Linked DNA regions of Coturnix japonica. The protein of the gene in region 2 purifies or fractionates together with the protein of the main gene of each other region. This does not show direct contact. Links are inferred from orthologs where the notes say so. Each region holds a gene or a part of one and is shown on either strand. Other genes may lie near its edges.

Evidence for each region.
Region 1: the proteins of SLC30A5 (region 2) and SLC30A6 purify together in Homo sapiens (co-immunoprecipitation; 5 studies listed by BioGRID and IntAct, with this or other methods). This does not show direct contact. The link is inferred for Coturnix japonica from reciprocal best matches to the Homo sapiens genes SLC30A5 and SLC30A6.

Annotation. Positions count from the first base shown.
Region 1 is NC_029518.1:30,258,189-30,262,286, forward strand, and holds the start of SLC30A6 (zinc transporter 6), read right to left. Parts: upstream 2,845-4,098; 5' UTR 2,734-2,844; coding exon 2,716-2,733; exon of another isoform or gene 2,702-2,715; coding exon of another isoform or gene 2,699-2,701; intron 2,560-2,698; exon of another isoform or gene 2,391-2,559; intron 1,471-2,390; coding exon 1,384-1,470; intron 590-1,383; coding exon 505-589; intron 1-504. UniProt on the Homo sapiens protein: Has probably no intrinsic transporter activity but together with SLC30A5 forms a functional zinc ion:proton antiporter heterodimer, mediating zinc entry into the lumen of organelles along the secretory pathway.
Region 2 is NC_029547.1:13,195,061-13,198,706, forward strand, and holds part of SLC30A5 (zinc transporter 5), read right to left. Parts: intron 2,724-3,646; coding exon 2,498-2,723; intron 1,147-2,497; coding exon 920-1,146; intron 131-919; coding exon 2-130; intron 1-1. UniProt on the Homo sapiens protein: Together with SLC30A6 forms a functional proton-coupled zinc ion antiporter mediating zinc entry into the lumen of organelles along the secretory pathway.

The DNA.
Region 1 (4,098 bases), on a different chromosome or scaffold from region 2:
GCCTGACTACCCTTTCTGAGAAGTAATACTTCCTAATGTCCAGCCTGAATCTCCCCTGGCGCAGCTTAAAACCATTCCCTCTAGTTCTATCATCGATTACATGAGAGAAGAGGCCAACCCCCAGCTCACTACAACCTCCACTCAGGTAGTTACAGAGAGCTATAAGGTCTCCCCTGAGCCTCCTCTTCTCCAGGCTGAACAATCCCAGCTCCCTCAGCCGCTCCTCGTAAGGCCTGTGCTCCAGACCCATCACCAGTTTTGTTGCCCTCCTCTGAACACGTTCCAGGGCCGCAATGTCTTTCTTGCAGTGAGGGGCCCAAAACTGAACACAGTAAATGCTTCCACAATGACCATAGCAAACAAAAAGGCGGCACTTTCCAGACCTGGCTTCTCAGTCACCAAATTCCATTATGCGCAGAGCTTTGATTTGCTGTACTCTGGAACTTTATGGGTACAGAAACACAGTGCAGCTGTTAGAATCTTCACTGCAAAAAAGCCACCTACCTATGCTGTTTGTAGAGCTGCACCACATGAGCAGGAAACCAATACATATTAAATTTATAGCACCGAACAGCAGGATCTTCCAGGACTGTTGAGGAGAATAAACACATATTTTACATCTTCCAAGATTCACAAGACAAAAACATACCTATCTTGTTGTAAAAAACCACAACATTGTAGCATTTCATCGTGCAAGCAGTACTACCTGTGTCTCACCCAAAAACATGCAATTCACTTTAGGGTAACAATCTCATGTTCTATTTTCATTGTACAGATTGTCCCCAAACTCATTTTCCATCAGCATTGCATATTATGCTTAAAACATTTTTGGTGTGAAAAAACATCCCTCCGCATCTAATTGCAACACATTCTTCCTGAATGTTAAAGACAGAATTATAACAGCTTTCTATTTCCTGCCCTCCCTTCTGACAGAGAAGTACAGATCTAAGTGGGTTTTTTTCTTAATGCTAGAACTTTGACCCCAAAAACACCTGTACAGCTTTGGCTTACAGTTCTACCTAATGCATTAAACATAAGCACAACTCTGGGGAAAATTAATTATCAGGGACAGGCCATAGGACTCCAACTTAACAGAAAGTACAACTCCATTTAAAGACAGAAAGGCATCGTTACTATTCACAGTGCTGATAATAATGAGATATCTGTACACTCTGGTGTATTTACAGCAGACAGCATCACTACGATAATCTTAATACCTGATGCATGAGCTCAATGTGAAACTAAGTTTAAAACACTGCCACTTTTTAAAAGAAGTACAGCTACTTTAAAAAGATATTTCCAACAATTTGCTTAAATTAATAGTTCATCTCAACATTTCACAGCTAATAGCTTTATTATTTATTTATCAAAAGAAATACTCACCCTTCTATCTGCTGCAACCAGCCTAAACTCATGTGTTAACTTTCCAACCAACGATCTCTGTGATTTGCGGAACAGGTGGATTGTCCCCTTAAGAAAGTTAAAGGTTAATTTAATATTTGACTCAACCCCCCGGTTTAGATTTAAAACAAAACAAAACAACCTTCACTTATGAACTATTTCAAAGCTCACTGTGATTCAATGATATCACAGAATCACAGAATTGCAGGGGTTGGAAGGGAGCTCTAGAGATCATCGAGTCCAACCCCCCTGCCAAAGCAGGCTCCCTACACCACGTCACACAGGTAGGTGTCCAGGCGGGTCTTAAATATCTCCAGAGAAGGAGACTCCACCACCTCCCTGGGCAGCCTGTTCCAGTGCTCCGTCACCCTCACTGTAAAGAAGTTCTTCCACACATTCGTGCGGAACTTCCTATGCTGTACTTTCATCCCATTACCCCTAGTCCTGTCCCCACGCACTACTGAAAAGAGACCAGCCCCACCACTATGGCTCCCACACCTCAGGTATTTATAAACCTGGATCAAGTCTCCTCTCAGCCTTCTTTTCTCAAGGCTAAACAGACCCAGTTCCCTTAGTCTCTCCTCATAGGGGAGATGCTCCAGGCCCTTCACCATCTTAGTAGCCCTCTGCTGGACTCTTTCCAAGAGATCCCTGTCTTTTTTGTACTGGGGAGCCCAGAACTGGACACATATAATTAAAGTTAAATTCAACGGTGCCTCTCAATAACATGTTCTGTTTCCACAAGACTACGGCTGGCTTAGAACCAAGCCTCATATTGACACAGAGCAGAATTCACGACAGGAGAGGTGTTTCCAAGCCGGTCACCTAACCAGCCTCACTCAGCTGACAGACACGCCTGTCAATACAGCCGTGTTTCACGCCGCTCTCAGTACCTGCAGGCACACCCACGTTTGGGTCGGTACCACAAGTAGATCGCAGTACTACAGACTGCAAATACACGTTCCCCGAGGCGAAAGCAAAGCACTTACTGCGCTGTCTCCAGGCAAATCACTACCGAACCCCCCAGGACACCAAGGAGCGCCCCCACCTGCTGCAGTGTCCGTGGAGATCCGACCCGACCCGGTAAGGAAAACACGGGCGGCCACGTCACCGCGGGCCCGGCGGGGCTGCCCCGGGAGCGGGGCGGGAGGCGCCACAAGGGGGGGATGAGAGACGACGCGCTCCGAGCTCGGAGCTGGAACCCCCCGGCCCGCCCGGGAGCCGCCTCCCCGCCCTCACAGCTCCCCGCTCACACCCGCCGCAACCGGCCCGTCCCTCCCTGTCGCGTCCAGCTCACCATAGTACTGCCCGCACCGGAAGAGACGGCGCCATGCGAGGCCGGAAGAGGCGGAGGGGGCTGCCGTCACTGTGGCAACCTGCAGAGCCTGCGGGGCGACAGCGGAACTGGATGTGACGGCAAAGGAAGCGCGCCCCTAGGGCGGGGACACCAGGCCTTACCCCGCCCTGCTGCACCACACAGCGATATCCGGATAGTCACGGATAGCAGCACTTGCCTATATTAGTACTAAGAACTTGACTCAATAAGAACTTGACTCAAGTCCTTTAGAAACTAAATGAGGTATTGACGTATTTATTGTTCCATCATCCAGCAGGCACAACACCTGACTTGATTCATTTATTAAAGCAGTAACAACTTAATCAGATTGAGGTTTAATAAGAAGGGTTGCAGCTTTGGGCGTTTTAATCTGATAAACAGACGAGAGCAGTAAGAAAAGGATAAATGCAACATTTTATTGTGAAGCTGACGCTGTGTGAGTGCTCACCACGCTGCCTTACATTGCTTATTAATGAAGCCATGTTTAACATTCCACAAAATGTTCTTTAGGGAACACTGAGGCATAAGACCCTCAACACAACCAAAGACAAGCATCAGCTCTGTCTCAAACCAGAGTTATTCACTGTATTTAACAGGGTAGGGGACAGCAATTTGCCTCCACCTTCTGCTTGTGTCACTTAAATCCAGACTTCTGAAAAAACTGACTAGCCCTTCACATGAATGAGGATTTGAATTGTGACAGTTTCCATGTTCTCAGCCCCCTTGATAGGTACACAAGCATTACATCAAGTACTTCTCACTTCCAATGGCAAAAACAAAAACACCCTGCAGAACTGAGACCACATCTTAAGCATCCTGAAAGAATAAACCTGTATTAACCAAGTACGAAGAAAGTCAATCTTCAAAGTCAGCCTCTGAAACAGAACTTTTAGAAGTGTTTCTTATGGAGACAAAGTCTAATCACCAAACTAACAGACAATTGCAAATCAAAAAGACGAAACTGACCAGTACCGACAGAATTGCAGTGTTTAACCGATACATTTAGATACAGTGGAGGAGGGTCTACCTTGTCAATTATTGCTGAACTCAGGAGGTAGTTACTGACAAAATAAACAGTTTACATCATGACAGCTTACAATTTACAAGAGAAGCAGAAAGAATATAACACACATCTGCCTGTACTTTAGATGATTCTGCCTTTGTAGGAAGCTAGTTTATGTCTGTGTCCTGTTGAAGTTACAGTACTTAAACTCTTTATGTATTGGTCATCTCTTAAGATGACCATGGAAACTCAAGTAGGTGAGTAAAACAACATCCTTCAATACTAACCAGAAGCTCAAGAGACACTAACAGTGAAATCGGTAACTGCCTCTAATGAGCATGACAATAAGGGAACTGTT
Region 2 (3,646 bases):
CCTGCTGTACAATTCTCTGCTCCATCACATCTGACACCACTTGCACATGTATCGTACCTGCCACAACACTTGCAGAATGACACCAAAAATGAGGATCTCTGTAGGATATGACTCCATCTATTTTCTGAATCTGTGAAGAATTTACATGATTTTCATGAACACATTTTAAATTTGCACATGTACATGCACACTGATAACTAATACTCCACAGGAAAACAAAGCTGCATTTCCAGCTAAGTGACAGAGAAATAACGTAGCACCTGGAGGCCAACGTGCTATTGTCAGATACCAGATGTTACAACCCAAAGAAAACCAAGCAGAGGGCAAAATGAAAAGGGTTGACTTAAACACAACTGCAGGAGTCTCAGTAACATCTATGGACAGATCAACTTTGGCCTGCACTTTAAGTCACTTATAGGGTATCTGTCACATTGTTATTCAGGATAGGTAACTGTACAGTTACCACAGCTGTACGTTTTCCAGAAACATATTTCCATAATTCATCATTTTTAGAAATTGATCACTGCACTGGGCCTGGTAGGGACATAGCAGCCTGCATGATATTCTGTTCTGGATTCATAGCTAAAACAGTGTTGATAACATGCAGTTTTTTTGACTGCTGAACACAGGTTGTAGATTCTGGGCAGCCTGCTCTAGCTTTTACCTAGCAGCTGGCCATCCTGCCTGTGGCAAGGGAGTTGCAAGTAGGTGATCTCTGAGGTTCCTTCCAACCCCAGACATTCTATGACTCTATGGTCAAGAGTTCCTCTTTTTCCCAACCTTGATCCAACACAGCAAGTCTTCTATGGGTGCACCAGAAACTAGGAAGAGACACAGCAGGGACAGCTGACCCAGGTGGCCCAGAGAGCTGTTTTCTACAGTACAACAACATAAAAAAGACTGGGATAGAAGAACTGACCTTTTCTAAAGCAGCATGCAGATCTTTCTCTTGTTCTGGAGGTATCCTCAACAAAAGCACTTGACAGGCGTCTTTCAGTAGTGGGATAACACTGAGAAAAATCAGTGTAGCAATAAAAAGAGAGCAGAGGGGATCAGCTATCAGCCATCCAAATTGCTGAATAAATGTGGTAGACACTATAACACCCACACTGCCAAGAGTGTCTGCTAACACATGCAGAAACACACCTGAAAACAAAACATATTAAGAGATTAAGAGGAACACCGCTGCTTAAGATGAATATAGATGTTCATTAGCAACAAATTCACTTTTATGACATTGGCCTCCCTCAAGCACCTGCCTAACCTGCTGCAGAATGAATCAAAACATTCAGTTTAAGTAGTATTTAATTAGAAATCAACATTGGTAGGAAGTACACTTCAGTAATCTAGGCAGACATTTACAGATGAAGCCACATACAAACGCAGTCTTATTTAGTTCGTGGGACTTGTATAATAGGGATCAGTCCTTATTGATCTTCAACAGAATAGAAAAAGATCACTGTGAATGCACTGGGCTGCTCGTACTGACAGGTATTAATCTACCATTTGTTTTTCTACAGCCTAACTCTGCTCAAAGTTTTAAGAAGATTGTCTACATACTCTAAGAATAATTCTTTTACTGCTTTAATGGCTGGCATCATTCCCAGTGTAAACTCAGACACAGTATAGAAAAAAAATATCTCTAGTCACTTGTAAGACTAGTACTTACTGACTGCCAGGATTTAAAAGAATGCTGAACAGTGTTAGAGATGGGCAGATATTACAATATAATGCCTGAAAACAGAAGAATCATCTTAACTAATGACTGATGGAAAGTAATCTATGAAACAGAAGAAGACTCTTAGCTAAAATGCATATGCTCTGACAAGCTTACACAAAAGTTCATTCTTTTATAGACTTGTATAAGTGATGTAGTTGGTAAAGAACTGCCTTCTAACTGGTAGGGAAGAAGAGTCTCAAGAAGTAGCTGTTCTAAAATTATCTCTATACATTGCCCTTCTCAGCTTCCAATTTTAGATCTGGAAAAAAAATTCATCTTTACCACCTTATCTTCTGAATCACAAATAGAAGCATAATGCTTCATATCCCAGACTGATAGTCTGCATTTGCTCTTCTGCTTCTTTATCACTTCCCCCAGGGCTTTCACAACCAGCTGTAACATGATACCCAGAAGTATGGCATTAGCTTTACAGACAGAGACATACTACTTGCATTTTGAGATGGCCCCTGGACTTAGTAATGATAGCTTCAATTTTTGTTCAGTAAGGTTTTCGATGACTAAGGTTATTAATGTTAATAGAGACTGAAGATTAATGCTTTGCATTGATCCTTGGGTATCACCCACGTCTCAGAAAGCCATGTGAAAAAATAATTCAAGTTAAACTCACTTATGAATGAACACTTTGAGAAATAAATGTATGCAATATTCTGGAGGGAGATTTCAAGAACGATACGCAGTACTGGGGTTAAAACTTAAAAACACCAAAGTCTGCTATAGACCAGATCTGTCATTTATGATTCAACAATCCATACTTGCCTCTCATGTTGGTATTCATGCCTCCTCCTGCAGACACATGGGAATGTCCATGGCTGTGCCCATGGTCATTGTGGGAATGGCCATGCCCATGACTGTGGCTGTGTCCATGGTAAGAATGGCTGTGCTCATGTGAATGACAGCCTCCACGAGAAGCCCCATGGGAATGTGCATGGCTAAAGGCACAGATGCCAACCAGGTTTACGATCAACCCTCCAACAGAGACTGGCTGTGAGAGAGAGAGAGGTATCAGATGTCACTACATATTCCAATCCAAAATCCCACCCAGCTGCTCACACCAAAACGTAGCACCCGATACCCACACAGCATGAGAAGGTGGTAACTTAAGTTTCAAGTAGGAGATTGTTGTTTTTATTTACTTCCAGAAAGAGAAAGTGGTTTGGCTACAAACTTTGTGTTGCCCTCATTCATTGGCAGGAAAAAAAAGTATATAAATCTACTTAAAACATGCATAAGCAGCTAAAATTGTAGTTATCTGAAGATATCCACTTCCACTTTACTGGTCGTGATTTTTCTCTCCCTGCATTTTCTTCCACTCTTCTCTTTAAAAACATGTGATCTGCAATAGAGTTATTTTAGCTAATCCACTAGTTAAGCAAATACTACTCAGGGGCTACCAGGCCTTAAGTTAAGTCAGGCCTTATATCCAGCAATGCATACATCTAATTTTACCTATACAAAAATCTTTGTTAACCAAATGGCTAGAAGAGAGCACAAATTCATGTGTGGGGGGGAGAATAACACAAATGAAACCACAAGTATGATAACTGGGGGCTCAGACGGTCAGAATTCTATGATTTAAAAATTTGGTTTGAAGAAAATAAATGGTAAGAGTTTGGAAGAAAGCAACAAAAGCCTGAAAACTTGCCTAGGGCATGGAAAGTGGTGAGATACGGGCACTGTTATGTTTCATGAGTACTTGTGCCATAGCATAAGTATGGTAGATAGTGATTGTATCATCACTATCACATTACAAATCCTGACTAACTTTTGACATTTCTGAGAGAAAAACACAAAAGCTTTTTTGCAGTGACTGACACTGGTATACACAAAGCAGAGCCAAGTTTAGTCTTGTACAGATTACTTTCTCAGTTTCTATTTTTTGCTGTTGTTGACGGCCATTTAAAAAGA